Rattus norvegicus: one gene and its partner. The main gene of each other region encodes a partner of the protein of the gene in region 2 in a complex. Links are inferred from orthologs where the notes say so. Each region holds a gene or a part of one and is shown on either strand. Other genes may lie near its edges. The genes, in order: Synj2bp and Rps6ka1.

Region 1 (3,815 bases), on a different chromosome or scaffold from region 2:
ATTGAATCTGTAGATCGCTTTTGGTAAAATGGCCATTTTTACTATATTAATCCTGCCAATCCATGAGCATGGGAGATCTTTCCATCTTCTGAGGTCTTCTTCAATTTCCTTCTTCAGTGTCTTGAAGTTCTTATTGTACAGATCTTTTACTTGCTTGTTAAAGTCACACCGAGGTACTTTATATTATTTGGGTCTATTATGAAGGGTGTCGTTTCCCTAATTTCTTTCTCGGCTTGTTTCTCTTTTGTATAGAGGAAGGCAACTGATTTATTTGAGTTAATTTTATACCCACATGCTGTAAGTTTTAAAGCTAGATGAGCTATTGGTTTTAGATATCTACCTTCCTCTTCATTAACATTTCTCTCTACCACCCACCCACCACTAATCTCCGGTTCTTTCTCAACTCTTTTTTATAATTTAAAACAAAGAAATTTTTAAACTTTTTTTCTTGGATATTTTATGTATTTACATTTCAAATCTTATCCCCTTTCCCCCCCTTTCCCATCCCCCCTCCCTGCCCTGCTCCTATGAGGACGCTCCCACTCCCACCCACACACTCCCACCACCACGCCCTGGCGTTCCCCTACATTGGGGAAACGAGCTGTCACAGGACCAAAGGCTTTTCTTAACTCTTGAGACCTCCTAGTAATTTTGTTTCTCTAGGGAAAATGGACCACATAAGGTTCCTTGTCCTAGCTTATATCTAATACATTCTCTTAAATTCTGACTTATACCATTAATTCTACCCTTGGTAGAAAGGTTAATTTCAGTTTTCTCTAAGGCCATGTCTATCATCTACTAGTTATTTACTTCCTTTTTAGAGTAATTAATCTTACTTACTCATTTACCTTTTAGGAAGACAATATAGTGTTAATTTTAGTATTAGCATTAGTATTAGTAAGTAATTCAAATTCAGACAGGTTAAAGTTTTAGTTTACCAACACTAGTTGTATGACTTGTAAACCACCTGACTTCATCAAGCCTCAGTTTTCTTAGCTGCAAAATGGGCATGATTATACTCATTTCACAGCACTACCCTAATATTAAACAGCTTTACACTGAAGGTTCTGTTTTGTGCATATAAATTGTTCATAATTTTTTTTAGATAATCCATCTTTAAAGCTTTTTTTTAACAATATAGCTGTCTCTTCAGCCCCATACTAAACCCACTATTTTTCAAGTCTTTTTTTACTCGAGTATAGGTGCTAGTGCTCTGAGATATTGTGACACATTATACTTTTATTTTAACAACCCACTAACAATTTTTCTTTCTGTCCTATTGCAAACTCGGTTTGCAGTTTTACAATGTCTTTCTTCTAAGAGAGGTAGAAAAGACCTACTCCTAAATTCCTCGTCAGCATTTTCATATCAAAGGCGTTTAAGTTTCCCTATCTTGTAGACTAATGGAGAGGGCTTAGATGAAGCTTAGTAGGTGGCAGCATGGCCAACAGTGAGAGGAACTAACACAGCACCATCCACAGTGTTATACTTGTATGTCAGACACATTCTTCAGATTCTTGAATTAACTTGCATGGTTTCATGGCTACTTCTCTGATTTATGTGTATTTCTCTCTTGAAATAAGATCTTGCTAACTAATTCACAACTTAAACACAAACGTTCCTGCCTCTACTTCCTGAGTACTAGAGGACTGTATGGGTGTGTGCCACCATGCTTGGTGGTGTGTCTTCCTAAGGATCTCTCAAATACTACTCACATGTCAAATGAAAGAAAGGGAGACACTCTTATCTTTCATCTGTATCTCTGCCTTCACATACTGCTACCAAATGGGTTGGATGGCAGAGAAGTACCCACAAGCTGGTCTCTGAAAGGATCCGAAGGCTTCACACATACAACGTTTATTACTAATCAACTAAACTCTATGGCTTTTATCACTAATCAGCTGAACTCTGAGAGGCAACTCAAAAGAGAAAATACAAAACAAAACTAAAATAAAATCTTTAAAAGACATAGTCCTATTTTGTGGAAGTTCTAAATCAAGTATCTGACATAATCCTTAACTCTTAATCAAATTTTGTCTTGATCTACACTTCATTCACTTACTTCAGCCTTTTACCGGTTTGGCCCTCTTGCCCTATTCAGTTTTATAAGACAAAGTAGGAAATAATTGCTTTTTCTTAGACCATGAGCCACAATCCACAGCACATGTGGAAACTGGAAGCACTTCTGCAGGGAAAAGTCCCACCCTTCTTCGAATTCCTTTTAACTTGAGCACAGCCCTTAGAAGAAAGTCTAACTCACGGGGAATCCTAGATAGCAAGTCCCATTCCTTACACCAATCATGTGTGTTATTTTCGTAAAAATAAGCTGAGCTACAATAGCACAAAAAAATTGATTTGTAAGATTTTATAGCATGGTCTAACCATTCCCAAATGCCCAAAAATGATGGTATAATTAATGACACTGTTGCCAGTGAGATAGAACAGAAATTAAAAAAATACAGCCACATGTAAGAGTTTTAAAAGTCTTATTACACCTGGATTCTGATTTACTTTAGAAAGATTCAACTGACTGAGAGACTAAAGGTCTGGGGCTGAGGAGAGGGCTCAGCTGTTGAAATCATGCACCAACCTTTCTGAGGACGCAAGTTCAGTTTTCAGCAACCACATGAGGCAGCTCATAACTTCCTGTAACTCTTGCTCCAGGAGGATCCCATGCCTCTGGCTTCCATGACACCAGCACTCATGTGTACATTTTACCCTACAAACACACATACCTACCTACCTACCTACCTACACACACACACACACACACACACACACACACACACACACACACACTTAAAATAATAAAAAATTTAAAGGGTCTATGAGCCCATATGACTGTATTTGTTAGTCAACCTTTCTATTTTAAATTAATTTTCTGATTTGCTCATTTATTAAGCCTATGTTGAGCACTATACTAAGATATGGAAAGCTAAAAAATATTAATTCCTATTATTAAATACATAAAAATAGTAAGATTCATGATTACTATGTCATAAGATACATTAACAGGATGAAATGAGAACACGATTGACAGATATCCAAACTGTTCTTCATTTATAAGGCTTAATAATGGGTAAGGAAGCAGAAACTTAATCCTTACCTTGCTTTTTAAAGTTCAGACCATTATTAAGGGCTGACAGTCTCCCAAGAAAAGGCACAATTCAGTGTTTTAGTCAACAAAAGAGAAGTGATAAAATTATCAAGAGAAACTTGAAAAGTGTGGATGGACCTTAAATCTCCTTCCTCCTAGCCAGTCCTTCACCCCTACCTGCTTTGTGCTTTTTGAACTACGTCAAATTTGCCTGGCCTGTCAAGCAAGAATAATACTATCCTCCCAGCCTAGTGGTAAAGTTGGACGACTGATTGATGTTCTTCCTATTCAATGATATAATCTAAATATTTTCATTTCCAAAAAGGCAGGCCACAGAAGGAGTCAGATATGGTCTAGGAAGCAAAGTATAACAAAGGGAGCCGAAGCCATTTCTCACCGAGAGGATCTTATCACCCTCCTGGAGCCGCCCATCCCGGGCCGCAGCCCCATCCTCTTTGATGCGGCTGACGTAGATGCCACTGTCATTGGAGACATACTGTTGATCTGTCCCACCGACGATGTTGAAGCCCAGCCCTGAGAAAATCATGGAGGAGTGAAGGAGAGAGGGATGAAGAAGAAAGAAAGATTAGAGAAGAAAGGAGAGGAAAATGGTCTAGTGGGGAGGAGAGACTGACAATTCAGACCGTGAGGTAAGCTAAAACACAGTCATGGACAGTCAGTGAGTCATTATGAACAAAGGCCGAAAGTACCTAGATTG
Region 2 (3,815 bases):
CCAACAGGATCTATCCCAGCTCTCCAGACAGCACTGGAAGGCAGTTCATTGGCCAACCCCAGAATGAACAGATCAAGAAATGATCTTTAGGGGCTGGGGATTTAGCTCAGTGGTAGAGCGCTTACCTAGGAAGCGCAAGGCCCTGGGTTCGGTCCCCAGCTCCGAAAAAAAGAACCAAAAAAAAAAAAAAAAGAAATGATCTTTAGAGGTGGGCGGTAGTAATACACGCCTTCAGGCCCGGCACTCGGGAGGCAGAGGCAGGCTGGTCTTGGTGAGTTTGAGGCCAGCCAGGTCTACACAGAGAGACCCAGTCTTGAACACCACCCCCTGCCCCCAAAAAAGGGAAAAAAGAAAGAAAATAGAAGCGATCTTTTAACAGCAGCATGTCCGATGTCACACTGTATTAGGAAGGAGGTCTGGGTGGGGCCCACAGCTGCCCTGCGGCCTTTAGTAATAGCCACACTTATCAGGCACTTCCTAATTATCTACGGTGAATTTGCTGCTGGCCAACCACTGCAACCACCCACCCCTCTGACAGCCCCAAAGAGAGATAAGTTCCCGGGGAGTGCCACACACTGAGTGAGTGGCCCAGTCCTAAAAGGCCCAAGGGCTGTCAGTCCCTGCACCCGGGAGAAAGGGCGGGAGTATGGCAGGGGCTTCGCTTACTTCTCAGGCTTGAGGTCTCTGTAAATGATGCCCAAGCTGTGCAGGTGGTCCAGGCCCAGTGCCAGCTCAGCCAGGTAAAACTTCACATCCTCCTCTGTAAACATAACCTGCCACAGGGAAAAAGACACCCATCCACTGGCACACCCTGTTCCCGAGGAGCCGGGCTACTGGGCAGTGGAGCCTCTTGGTGCTTGGGGGGGGGGGGGGGACGTAGGCAATGCAACTTCCTCTAATCTTTCTCTAACACGCAGTCTAATTGTATAGACGGACTGTAATAAAGAGTCAATATCTTTAATACCCGAGTCGCTCGCTGTGCTGGAGTTTGGAAACAGCAAAGAATGGAAACACCCAGGAATAAAAGACTGGAATAAACCGCCTCTCCTGGCGCAGGAGGGGGTGGGGAGGGAGGGGGTAGTGGGATGGTGGAGGGAGGGGTGTGGGGGCAGTTGGGGAGGGGGGAAGGGCAGCTCTGCAGCCATGACATAGAACAAGGAGTTTGCTCTTGTCCTGATGCAGAACAATCTGAGACACACTGACACCCGAGGCCAGGCACAGGACAGTGCGCAGGAATGAATACTTCTCATGTAAGAAAGTAGGGGTAGGGACTCAGAACATGTGTAGGATTTATTTACAGAAGGTTAAAAAAAAAACTAATTAAAAAAATGTTTACTTCCAGGGGGTAGAGGGACTGTGTAGTGATTAAGACTTGACCGTGCATATCTTTCTTTTGAATCATGAAAATGGACTGCCTGATGAACCATTATTTCTCTGAGGAGCCCTGGCTGTCCTAGAACTTGCTCTGTAGACGAGACTGGCCTTGAACTCAGAGATCACCCGGTCTGTCTCCCGAGTGCTGGGATTAAGGGTGTGGCTGCCGCCACCGCCCAGCTGAGCATTAATGTTTTAAATATTGAAAGTAAGTTTCTGAGAAAGTGAGACTCCCGGGTAAAGACTGGCTGCGTGTCTTTGAGCCCATGTGGTGGAAGCAGCGATCTAATTCCTACAAGTTGTCCTCTGGCCTTTATATGCACACCTGTGTGCCCACGAGTCTGTCTGTGTGTCCCCATGTAAAGTTTGCTGTCGGTGCTGTTTCAGAAAGAGTGACCTTTCCCCACACCCAGGCTGAATCAGGTCTTGGTATATTCTAGACAAACTCTCTACCACTGACTGACATCTCAGCCATATATATTTTAGTCACTCAGGCAGGCCTTCATGTTGTAATCCACCTGCCTCAGTCTCCCAAATAACTGTAACTTAAGGCCCGTGCCACAATGCCTGGTCAAGCTTGCTTCTCTCCCATGGTTGGATTGTATTAATGATCTTGGTTTTGAGAAATGACGTTCAGATCCTTTTCTACTGGGCCCTTTGTATTTTTTTCCTGTGGCGGTGGAGGCCTGTATTGTATTTTTTTTTTTTATATCAACAACATGACAAGGACCTTAAAGTCTTTAGCTTCCTGGGTGGGTTTGGACCTCTTCCCCTCGGCCAGCACACAGTCTATCTCAAGCATTTGAGGGATCGGCAACTAGAAATCACAGCAGTGTCACCTTTAGACCCCGTTCATCTTCAGCCCATCCTGAGAGAAATTCTCAGAGGCAGGTGGCATTTCTCGACTGTCAAACAGAGCCGGGAAGTTCCAGGCCGCACCACAATGACAGTGTTCCCCACAGGCCCAGGATGGGACTCTCTGTCAGGTCCCCAGCGGTGGGATGCTAGCTTACCTCCTTTGAGAGTCGTGTGAACAGGTCTCCACCACGCAGAAAGTCCAGAATAAGATAGAGCTTGCCCTCGGTCTGGAAGGCTAAGAGAGGAGGAAGCCAATGTGGGATCAGCTGGGCCAGTGTCAGCTTGTGACAAATGCCTCTACTCTGGGCTCCTTGGCCAGGCCCGTGAGAAGTTGGACAAGGGACAAGGAAGGCAGCAGGCTGTAGGTGAGGGTGGACGTTGAGGGGACGAGTGGCACTTGGGCAGGGTCTGGGGTCTCACCATAGTGCAGTTTCACTACGAAGGGGTGGTTCACGTCAGCTAGGATGTCTCTCTCCATCTTGGTCCGAACACGGTCACGCACTGGCCAGAGGAGAAAAGAAGGCACTAGTAGAACACACCCAACACAGCCTCTCCCCAAAGTCCACCTCTAGGTGAGGTTTCCCTCAGCCTTCCAAGGCCCCCCCAGGGTGCTCTCACCCTTGGGACGTTCAGCTAATTCTTTCCTTCTGGAATGTTCTGGGTCCTCAGGTGGCTCTTGGTCTCCTGGAGACGTCCAGGCATAGTCCTTGTGTCTTGCTCAGTTGTCTAGCCTCACCCACCACCAGACCCTGCAGCACCGTGTACCCCAGGGTGCTTAATTTTCTGAGGTCCCCGGCCTTTGACTCTGTATCCCTTCAGCACACACTTATCAAGCCTCTTTCGATCCTCCACAACAGCTTCTAAGTGTAATATTAAAACGCCATTCTGGGGTCTAAGCAGCCTTCCTTCCCTTGTTTTATTAACTTCCTTTTCCTCCAGTTGCTGGGGAGGATTATTTGAGACAAGCTCTCATGTAGGTCAGGCTTGCCTGGAAGTCATGATGTCGCCAACACTGGCCTTGAATGTCTGATCCTTCTGCTCTACCTCTACCCTGCGTTTCGATGACAAGTCTCGGGAATGTCTGGTTGGGGATGGGGATAAAAAAAGATGCCAAGCAAATTCCGACCACTAGCAGGTTTTTGGTTGACTAAGTTCAGACTTTACGGCCTCGGGGAAGCATCCCTACCCTGCAGGCAAGGCTGGGACCTCTGGGCTCCCACAAGCTGGCACTCCCCATCAAGACGTCAAGACGCATCTTATTGTGTTTTGATTCTTATGTTTCTCTCACTAGATGTGGCAGGGGCCTTGTGTGGTTGTAACTAATCCAGTCACTTTCAAACACACCTCACGCTTCAGCCACCAAAGGGACATGGTCCCTGCTTTCTGGGTTGGGGGAAGTCGTCCTTCCTTACTTTACCATCTTTTTTTTTTTTTTCTTTCCCGGAGCTGGGGACCGAACCCAGGGCCTTGCGCTTGGTAGGCAAGCGCTCTACCACTGAGCTAAATCCCCAACCCTTACTTTACCATCTTGTTCTGGTAAATTCCTAACATTCTTCAAGGCATAGGTCCTGCACTTGCCCCCA

What was found.
Region 1: the proteins of Rps6ka1 (region 2) and Synj2bp are in contact, whole or in part, in a crystal structure (PDB 7P74), measured with the Homo sapiens proteins. The link is inferred for Rattus norvegicus from reciprocal best matches to the Homo sapiens genes RPS6KA1 and SYNJ2BP. Residues at the interface, in NP_002944.2 of Homo sapiens: Pro731, Ser732, Thr733, Thr734, Leu735; in NP_060843.2 of Homo sapiens: Arg18, Gly22, Leu23, Gly24, Phe25, Asn26, Ile27, Val28, Gln33, Ser45, Arg46, His78, Val82, Phe85, Arg86.

The regions. Positions count from the first base shown.
Region 1 is NC_086024.1:106,934,427-106,938,241, forward strand, and holds part of Synj2bp (synaptojanin-2-binding protein), read right to left. Parts: intron 3,632-3,815; coding exon 3,495-3,631; intron 1-3,494. UniProt on the Homo sapiens protein: Regulates endocytosis of activin type 2 receptor kinases through the Ral/RALBP1-dependent pathway and may be involved in suppression of activin-induced signal transduction.
Region 2 is NC_086023.1:151,381,541-151,385,355, forward strand, and holds part of Rps6ka1 (ribosomal protein S6 kinase alpha-1), read right to left. Parts: intron 2,734-3,815; coding exon 2,653-2,733; intron 2,468-2,652; coding exon 2,388-2,467; intron 774-2,387; coding exon 667-773; intron 1-666. UniProt on the Homo sapiens protein: Serine/threonine-protein kinase that acts downstream of ERK (MAPK1/ERK2 and MAPK3/ERK1) signaling and mediates mitogenic and stress-induced activation of the transcription factors CREB1, ETV1/ER81 and NR4A1/NUR77, regulates translation through RPS6 and EIF4B phosphorylation, and mediates cellular proliferation, survival, and differentiation by modulating mTOR signaling and repressing pro-apoptotic function of BAD and DAPK1.